Linked DNA regions of Coturnix japonica. Each later gene encodes a partner of the first gene's protein in a complex. Links are inferred from orthologs where the notes say so. Each region holds a gene or a part of one and is shown on either strand. Other genes may lie near its edges.

Evidence for each region. The genes of interacting proteins can lie anywhere in the genome.
Region 2: SF3B1 (region 1) and SMARCA5 share a complex: the UniProt entries of both Homo sapiens proteins name them as parts of the B-WICH complex. The link is inferred for Coturnix japonica from reciprocal best matches to the Homo sapiens genes SF3B1 and SMARCA5.

What each region holds. Positions count from the first base shown.
Region 1 is NC_029522.1:34,587-38,983, forward strand, and holds part of SF3B1 (splicing factor 3B subunit 1), read left to right. Parts: exon of another isoform or gene 1-859; coding exon 860-939; intron 940-2,038; coding exon 2,039-2,206; intron 2,207-2,371; coding exon 2,372-2,606; intron 2,607-2,915; coding exon 2,916-3,128; intron 3,129-3,435; coding exon 3,436-3,557; intron 3,558-4,239; coding exon 4,240-4,397. UniProt on the Homo sapiens protein: Component of the 17S U2 SnRNP complex of the spliceosome, a large ribonucleoprotein complex that removes introns from transcribed pre-mRNAs.
Region 2 is NC_029519.1:26,874,282-26,878,678, reverse strand, and holds part of SMARCA5 (SWI/SNF-related matrix-associated actin-dependent regulator of chromatin subfamily A member 5), read right to left. Parts: coding exon 4,342-4,397; intron 1,563-4,341; coding exon 1,396-1,562; intron 704-1,395; coding exon 603-703; intron 1-602. UniProt on the Homo sapiens protein: ATPase that possesses intrinsic ATP-dependent nucleosome-remodeling activity.

The sequences.
Region 1 (4,397 bases):
ATAGCAATCTGCACATTCCTTTTAATTAATAGTGTTTTTCTTGACAAGTCTTAATTTATATAAAGTCGGGCTTCTTGTAAAGTACGTAAAAGTTAAACTTTAACTCAAGATACAGAGCATAAAACAACAAATGGTACACAAACCCCATTCCGTGTGAGTATTGTTGTGGTGGTAAATGTATTACGTTCAGATCCCAGTCGCAGTTGTTCTTTGAAAGGAGGGGGAAGGTGCTATCAGTTTTCTGGGATTTCTTGCTTTTTTAAATGAAGCCCTTTTACAATGTGACACTGGAAGATCTGGGAGGTGTGTCCAGATTTGTCAAACTTATAAATGGGTCCTTACGATAAAGCATTTTAAACATTACTTAGGTATGCAGTAGTTGTTTATAGTCAGATAACTACTAGGATGTAGCAGCTTGCACAAGGTAATGTTTTGAATATAAATATCTTTCCAAAGTGTTACTAATGGTAAAGAGATAATTTTCTAGGCTTCTATTCTGCTGCTTGAAGTCAGAACTGCTGATGGAGACAAAGGCACGAAAGTGTACGTATTCCGGATTAGCAACCCAGGAACCCATCACTTCTGAAGACTCTTAACTGTGTTGTCATTCTATCATTTATATCTGCTTTAAAATATTTGTTTGAAACTGCAGTAGTTACGTTTGTGTTCAAACAGGTTAAATTGATCAGCAAACTGAATAAACGTAAGATACACGTAATTTTAAAAATTTTCAATCAAAAAGTAAAATTAAATGATCATGGAATAAAATAATATTAGAGCAGGACTATAGAAAAAGTTGGTAGATTCTGCTTACCCTGTACTCATTGTGCTCCATTCCTGTTGCTGTTCTCTTCTACAGGAGGGAAGACACCAGACCCTAAAATGAATGCCAGAACGTACATGGATGTTATGCGTGAACAGCATTTAACAAAAGAAGAGGTGAGTTGGGGGTGGGGTTTGCTTGTGAACTTGGTTTCATTCTGCTGCCTGAGAAATGGCCATAGGAGCAGTGGGAATGGAAATTCTGTTGAATCGTTCAGTTTTTTTCCTTTGTAAATGTTGAACCGTGATGGTGGACCTTATGGATGGTAGCTTTGAACAACGTCTGTTCCACATCATACCAAAAGAACGAAGGGAGGAATGCTGTCGGTGTATGTTACTTTGGATTGTTCTGTAGCTCTCGGGTTGTCTGTTTTCTTTCAGAGGTGAAGAAGTGGAACCTGAGAGATATAGAGAGGTGTTTTGTGTTGGAGGGATTTGTTTTTGTGAGCTTTATATAAAGAGAATCCAGGGGGGTTTTAATAGGCTTTTGTTGCAGTAGCAACAGCTGGTTAACATTTGGCTTAAAACTTGAAAGGAGAAAATTGAGTAAAACCACCTATTAATAGTTACTAAAAATTCAATATAGTAGTTTGAAAGATATTGGTAATATAATAAGATTTCTTCTGTCATACCTACAGAGCAGGTTAATTGGAGAAAGATTTTAGAGCTCCATTGACCTTTGTTGGTTTATACTGATTTACTCAAATCGACAGCGGTTGAGGAAATAGTTTCCCGTTTTGGTAGCCTTACTGTATGAACTAATTGATAAATCAGAAATAGTCTGTGAGTGTGGTGTTTCAACAGTGTCATTTTGGAATTCTAAATGAGAACTCATGGCTTTTTTAATGTCTCAGCATATAACTCGTGTGAGTTTATTTTCTAATTCTCTTTAATAATTTACTGAGGTGGAATTCACTTGAAACAGGCTAGTAGTAGTTCTTAGGTATTCATATGGGAAATAGAAACCGACAGCACTAAAGCATTCTGTACAGTTGTATTTCTGCTATACTATGAACTTGGGTAGCAAATGAATTTAAACGTAGTCCCTCCAAACACGTAGCCCTGTTGCTATGGAAGAATTTGAAATTAGAGTGGCTAATGACATGTTATTTGGACGTAAAAAGATAACTGATACAACTGAAAATACTCTTAATATTAAATCTAATTTGTAGAGGCCTTCTTATGAAATAATTTATCTTTTTGTGTTGTTGAATAGAGGGAGATTAGGCAGCAGCTAGCTGAAAAAGCTAAAGCTGGAGAGCTTAAAGTCGTCAATGGAGCCGCGTCTCAGCCACCTTCAAAGCGCAAGCGGCGTTGGGATCAAACAGCTGATCAGACTCCTGGTGCAACACCTAAGAAGTTATCCAGTTGGGATCAAGCAGAGGTAATAATCCCATGTCCATCAGTTTGTATGTAGCAGATATTAATGCCAATCCACATGAAATTCAGGCTTCTTACTCTGACACGTACGCGCTGTAAAGGAATAAAAACAGCATTCTTTTAGTGCATAGAGGAGAGAGGTTAATACTTAGGCTTTTGTCTTGTGTAGACTCCTGGACATACACCATCCCTGCGGTGGGATGAAACTCCAGGCCGTGCAAAGGGTAGTGAAACTCCCGGTGCCACCCCTGGCTCAAAGATATGGGATCCCACTCCCAGTCACACGCCAGCAGGAGCCGCAACGCCTGGACGGGACACACCTGGTCATGCAACACCAGGCCATGGAGGTGCCACTTCCAGCGCACGTAAAAATCGGTGGGATGAAACTCCTAAAACAGAACGAGGTATGTATGGCGAATTGGAGAGCGTCTAAGAAGTTTTGAATGGCAAATACTGTAGGAGTTTTTCACCTTACGTGAGCAATAGAAGCAAACAAACAGCAGGAAGTGATTACATTCTGACATCTAGTGGCTGATGTGATGTTTTTATCTGAGTTTGTGTAGCACTGAATTCTGTCAGCTTAACCCACTTGTATGCTTTTTGATTCATGTAAGAATGAGGATGAGATAATAAAAATGGAATTGGATGTTTTTGCTGTAGTTGGAGTATAGTACTGTTCAGTTTTCTACAAGAACTGTGTTGTTTTATTTTAGATACTCCGGGACATGGCAGTGGATGGGCTGAGACTCCACGTACTGATAGAGGTGGTGATTCCATTGGCGAGACACCAACCCCAGGAGCAAGTAAAAGAAAGTCCCGATGGGATGAAACACCTGCTAGCCAGATGGGTGGCAGCACTCCTGTTCTGACACCTGGCAAAACACCCATTGGAACACCAGCTATGAACATGGCAACTCCTACGCCAGGTAAGCCCAATCTGTTCTCTAAGGCTTCACTTTTTTATATGAAAATGAGGCTCCAACATTTATATTGTATACTGAAATAGACTTTTACCTTGTGTACAGTTCTCATATACTAACTATACAGTTAGTATGTGTTCAATTTACCTATTTTAATGCCCATAGGAGCTAAGGCTGATGTCTGTGTTCAGTCTAGATAGTAAAGACATGTCATATTTGCTAGTGTGGAAAGTTTTGCTCAAGAAGACACTTGAAGTAAATCTATCTTCTGTTTATGGAAGTTATTAAAAAAAACATTTTGATTTTAATATAGGTCATATCATGAGCATGACTCCTGAACAGCTGCAGGCTTGGCGTTGGGAGAGGGAAATCGATGAGAGAAACAGACCACTTTCTGATGAAGAATTGGATGCTATGTTCCCTGAAGGATATAAGGTAATTAATTAGGGTGAGGCTGCTGCAGCAGACTGATAGTTTTCTTTTGTCAGGAGATATTGATTAAAAAAGAAAAAAAATAAATCCAACATGTATTTCAGAGTGTTTCATAGAAGCTGTTGATTAATTCATGTAGAAATTGGTTTGGTTTGGTTGCTCATTTATTATAAATCCATTAGAAAGTGAGAAATTAATGTTTATTTCAATGGCCAGTTCTTATTTTGCTTCTCAGCCTTAAGAATGTCTGCTGAGTTCAGAAAGAAAGCGCAAATGTGGAATGACAGGAGAGGGTGACAGATTCTGACTTCATAAATATACAGTGTTGATACAAATATTGAAGGTGGGGTTGGAGGTTAAGTTTAGAAACTTAAATAGTTTCTAAAGACTTGTTAAGTCCATTACCCAAGCCCTCTTCTGAAATACTGTCAATAGAGAATAAGCATGAATATGAACTATCCTGCTGAATTTGTGAATTAAATCACTGTATGTGGGATCTGATGTATGCAGTAACACACAAATCTATGGAGGGCTAAAAACTTATGTTCTGTTTTATTTCTGTTCTGCATTTGGGACCTTGCTCAATTTGCATCTGTTGTGGTAAGATGAGCCTTGAAGGCTGTGAAGGTTCTTTACATTAGTTCTCTGGTGCAGTTTTTAGCATATTTCCTTCTTTCTTCTGCAGGTTCTTCCCCCACCAGCTGGTTATGTACCTATTCGTACTCCAGCACGTAAACTTACGGCAACTCCCACACCTTTGGGTGGTATGACTGGATTCCACATGCAGACAGAGGACCGGACTATGAAGAGTGTCAATGACCAGCCTTCTGGCAACCTTCCATT
Region 2 (4,397 bases), on another chromosome or scaffold:
GGAGCTCAGGTGCATGCAATGCCCCTTTCTAGACCTCATTTAAGGGCTGGCAGTGGAGGGGAGGCTATCTCTCTGCAGATTCCTATGTGCCCGAGGCTTTCTTTCCCTTATTTCTGTGCCCACGGCTGTTATGTTTGAGTAAATCCTTATTTGCTGCAGCCTGGGAACTTGCTGCTCTGCTGTCATTGCTGTGCTTTCCATTGCATTACAACAGTACCACATTAAAATGGCAGAATATTCATTTCTCTGTCAAATAGACTGGATGCCATTACGTACTTCAAGCTGAATCACAAGATGAGTTAGAACTGTGAATATTTTAAGACCGCCAACTTAAAGCTAGCTTTTTCTCATTAACTACAGTATAGCAATTGGATTTCATAAGGACAAGACTGGAGCATCTTTCTAGCCTGAATGTAAACACTCCCATGCCAACCTACTATGTTTCATCAAAATGGTGCTGGACTTTTTTCCCTCCCATTTTCCTCCCTCCCAGTTGACTCTTTTTCTCATTGAGTAGCATGAAGTTTGAGTTTCAAGCTTAACTTTTGAAGGGTAAAGCACTTTGGGTGAAGGAGGGGAGAAAAATAAAAGAGGAAACACACATGATGGAGATTCTTCAAACCGAGTGCAGACATTCGTTGTCTTGGAGCTTTCTGTTAACAGCTCTTCATCTTCTTCCTGTTCTGTTCTACGATGGCGATAGCTGAAAGTGCAGAAAAGAAGATTTGTTCAGAACGATTCCAAAATTTAATTGGTCTGCAATACACGTGAGCACCTAAAGAAGCTTCTTGCAAGAGAACTCTTAAGGTAAGCTGATGAATTGAAATAATTTAGTTCTTTAGATCAAGAGCTTCTTAATGATAGGATGCCTCACATTGTGAACAAGGTCATGTGTTAGGGCAAAGTGACTAGAAAGGGCTAAAACACAAAAGACACTGCACACCAGTACTGGTCTGGAACTACAAGGCAAGAAATGACACCTGTGATTCAAGGTTCTGCAACATATGCCAGAAGCTGCAGGAGTAGTGCAGACATACACGCTGCCATGAAGGCAATCCACTTTTGTGGATGTGATTTCCAAGGTGCCTCTAGGACACACAGTGTTACCTGTGAACTCTTACAAATTACAGCCAAGACTGCTTTACTCTTCTGCCCCAGCTTTCCTTGGTACTGGAATACTTTAAATTGCGATAGTACTTTGCCATCACAGATTCCTTGTAACTCCTAGAATTCTTTGACAATTTACAAGTGGGTAGTTGGGGGGAAAAAAACACCACAATTGTACAGTGTAAAACACCTCCAAACAGGACAAAGGCTGACAGTGTTAACTTACGCTTCTAAAGCACAATAAAATCCTTAATTACAGTACAAGCTGGTCTACATGTCATCACTCACTCGCCAACTGACAGCAAGTTCTGCTTTTCATCCTTCTTTATTCGCGGACGTCCTGGTTTCATTTTCAAAGGTGAAGTAGGAGTTTTCTGAGCAGCAGGCTGAATGAAGTGAGCAAACAGCTCAGTCTGCTTCAACAGATACTCAAATCTGTTTGCTCTGTCTGTTTGCTGTTGATAAGGGAAATTAAGCAGAAGTGTGAGACGTTACAATATGCATTCATTTAAAAGACAACAAATGCTTTTTGAACAATACAGATTCCTGTATCTTCAAATACATAGCTATGATAACAAAAAAGAGATGATTAATTTCAGCAATGTAGCTGTTGCTGACAGATTCTTTCACTAAGTCAAGGCCAGCTGCTGCTACATGTTAGGATCAAAGCTGTCAAACGAACCTGCATTAAGACTGAAATCTGACTGGCACTAAGAGCATGTGAGTGTCACCAAGCAAAGCAGTAGAGCCCCTTTAACAACCTCCTCCCAGCAAAAATTATGGTCCTATTCCAAGAGATGTACACCCATCCAACACGCACAGGATTCTTCATCAAACTCATTCGCCTCACCCACCTGGCAACAACCATTCTCTTTTCTACCACATTAGCATCCTGGCTGCTTAGTGAGATAATGACCACCGTGTAGTGTCAGATAAGTATTACAATTGGCATGAAAAAGGGCTGGGGATAGCAGAAAAGCCCATGGCTAAAGCCAGTAAACCAATTTCAGCAACGAAGAGCTGTTACATATGCTCAGCCTAAGATGACTGAGTACACCCTTTGCTCACCATCTTTGCTGAACAAATAAAGATGACAGGAGACAATACCTAAAAGGTTTAGGTCCTTTGAGACAGGTTCTTTTTAGAATTAACGTCTCTTCCAAGTATCCTGAGTTTGCAGGAACTCGAGAATAGGCAATTGAGACAGAAGACAGCTCCAAGCTTAAAAGCAACCACTCAGACCTTCTGCCAGCTGCCACAACATAACCTGGTATTTAGCAACATACAGTTATAGGAAGTCACATTTCTTGGTAAAAAGGAACATGCTCCAGACTTTGGCAAGAACAGTGCCAGCCCTCTGTATATTCAACTCTTGAAACAGATCCTGTGCTACATGAAAGACAGAAAGATGGGATGAGAGGAGATGAGACAATAAAATCCTTTCTGTGCTACAGAGGAGTTAGAGACACTCTAACCACAGTTATAGCTTGACTGACACAGCTCAATTCCACAGCCAATGAACGGTTTCTGTTTATTCCTCAAAGATCATTTCTGTTTATTACTGTTTCTAAACTAGCTGGGATCTTATTGTCTTATTTGCCTTATTGCCAACCCTTATTTGTTTCACTGGGAGCACAAAAGATAAGAAATACAAACTGCATTCGAGAAGCTTCCTTGTTCTAACATGTTAGCAAGGAAATAGCCATAATTTTTGGCAGAGCACAAATACACCACAACCATTTTCAAGGTGCTTCAGGTAACAAGATAACAAACGTTGTCTGTGTCTTTAAGGCAGGACACAGACAGTAGGTTGCACTACACAATCTTGAGCTATTCTTCTACCAACAGAGATAGAAACTTCTCCTGTTTTCTTTTGCAGTGCATCTTCTGACTGTTTTTACAGTAAAATACGATCTTCCTTAACAGTGTGCCTATTTAGAGCCTGGATGAGACAAACCCAAGTTTGCCTTCTTCTAGGAAGTAGCACAAACAATTCAGCAGAAGACTGGGTTATTTTCAGTGCTAAGAAGAAACACAGGAAGTAGCAGATTACAAGAATCAGTTTCGCTTTGCTATAAAGAAATTCCACATGTAGTCACAGGCATTAGGGATCTCTGGGATTAGGAGCAGGAAAACAGGAAGGAACAGAGAAAGAAAATGTGATACAACGGTAAGGAGTGGAAGGTTGCATCTCCTACAGTTGGGATATCGTGAAAGGAAACAAAGGATGTTTCCTCCTATCTAATCTGAGACATGGAACTACCTGTTTTCAAGTTTAAGGAATCTAAACTGAAGCTTCATAAGGAACAAATTGGGTTTCTGAAAAGCTAATAAAATCCCTTTCAGTCTAAACAATGTGAAAGGGCTGAAGAGCTGGAGAAGGCTTACAGTCAGCACCACTCACACTTCACAGCAAACCTCTTCTCAGCCTCCTGTGTATTTTCAAAGCTGGCTTTTATTTACTTTGCTCATATACTGCACTGCTTGAAAGAAACTCCCTACTCTGAAGTGCCCCCACCAGAGTACATTTCAACTGAGAATGAACACAGTGACTCCTCAAAGCCTTATGCCCTCCCTCCCTTTTTTAAAACTGATTTTCCTCTCCTCACATTAAAATTAATGTACTTTTCCTACAGAGGACTCTACTCCTGCAGTTCAAAAACAAAACTGGAATTATTTTCCTGTGCTAAACAGTGACACGTGAAAGATCCTAGCCTTCAAATGATGCCATATACTGAAGAAACTGAAGTAGCAGCCATCTAGGAACCAACAGATCCTTCTGACTGAGACATTGAATGCTAAACTCTTTGCCCTCCTCCTTGTCTACAACTCTCTACTCAACATCAAAAGCAATGTGACCAATTCCTTTTCATTACGCTTTTTAAGTTTAAGACACTGGAATAATTCTCATTACACGATTCTTGTAAGCCTTCTTGTACGCACTTCAAAGCTTCTCCGACAATGTTTCCAAGAACACCAAAACACGTTCATAGTTATTCCCACAGAACACCACAGGGAAACACCAAACAAAATGCTGTGGGGTTTTCTTGTGTGTGTATGTATGTGTGGGGAGGGGGGCAGAGAGGAAGGGGTTGTTTGTTTTAAATTACTGAGATATTTCTGAATGACCCAACAAAGGTTTACAAAGCCAGATTTCAAAAGAGCAGAACACTAAGTCCATTCTGACAAGTGCTTAAGACAGGACAGCTGTATGGATTTCTCAGTGTTACATACCATTTTCTCTTCATATGTAGGATCTGCTTCAGAGATTTCTTTTGGTTTTCCTGGTG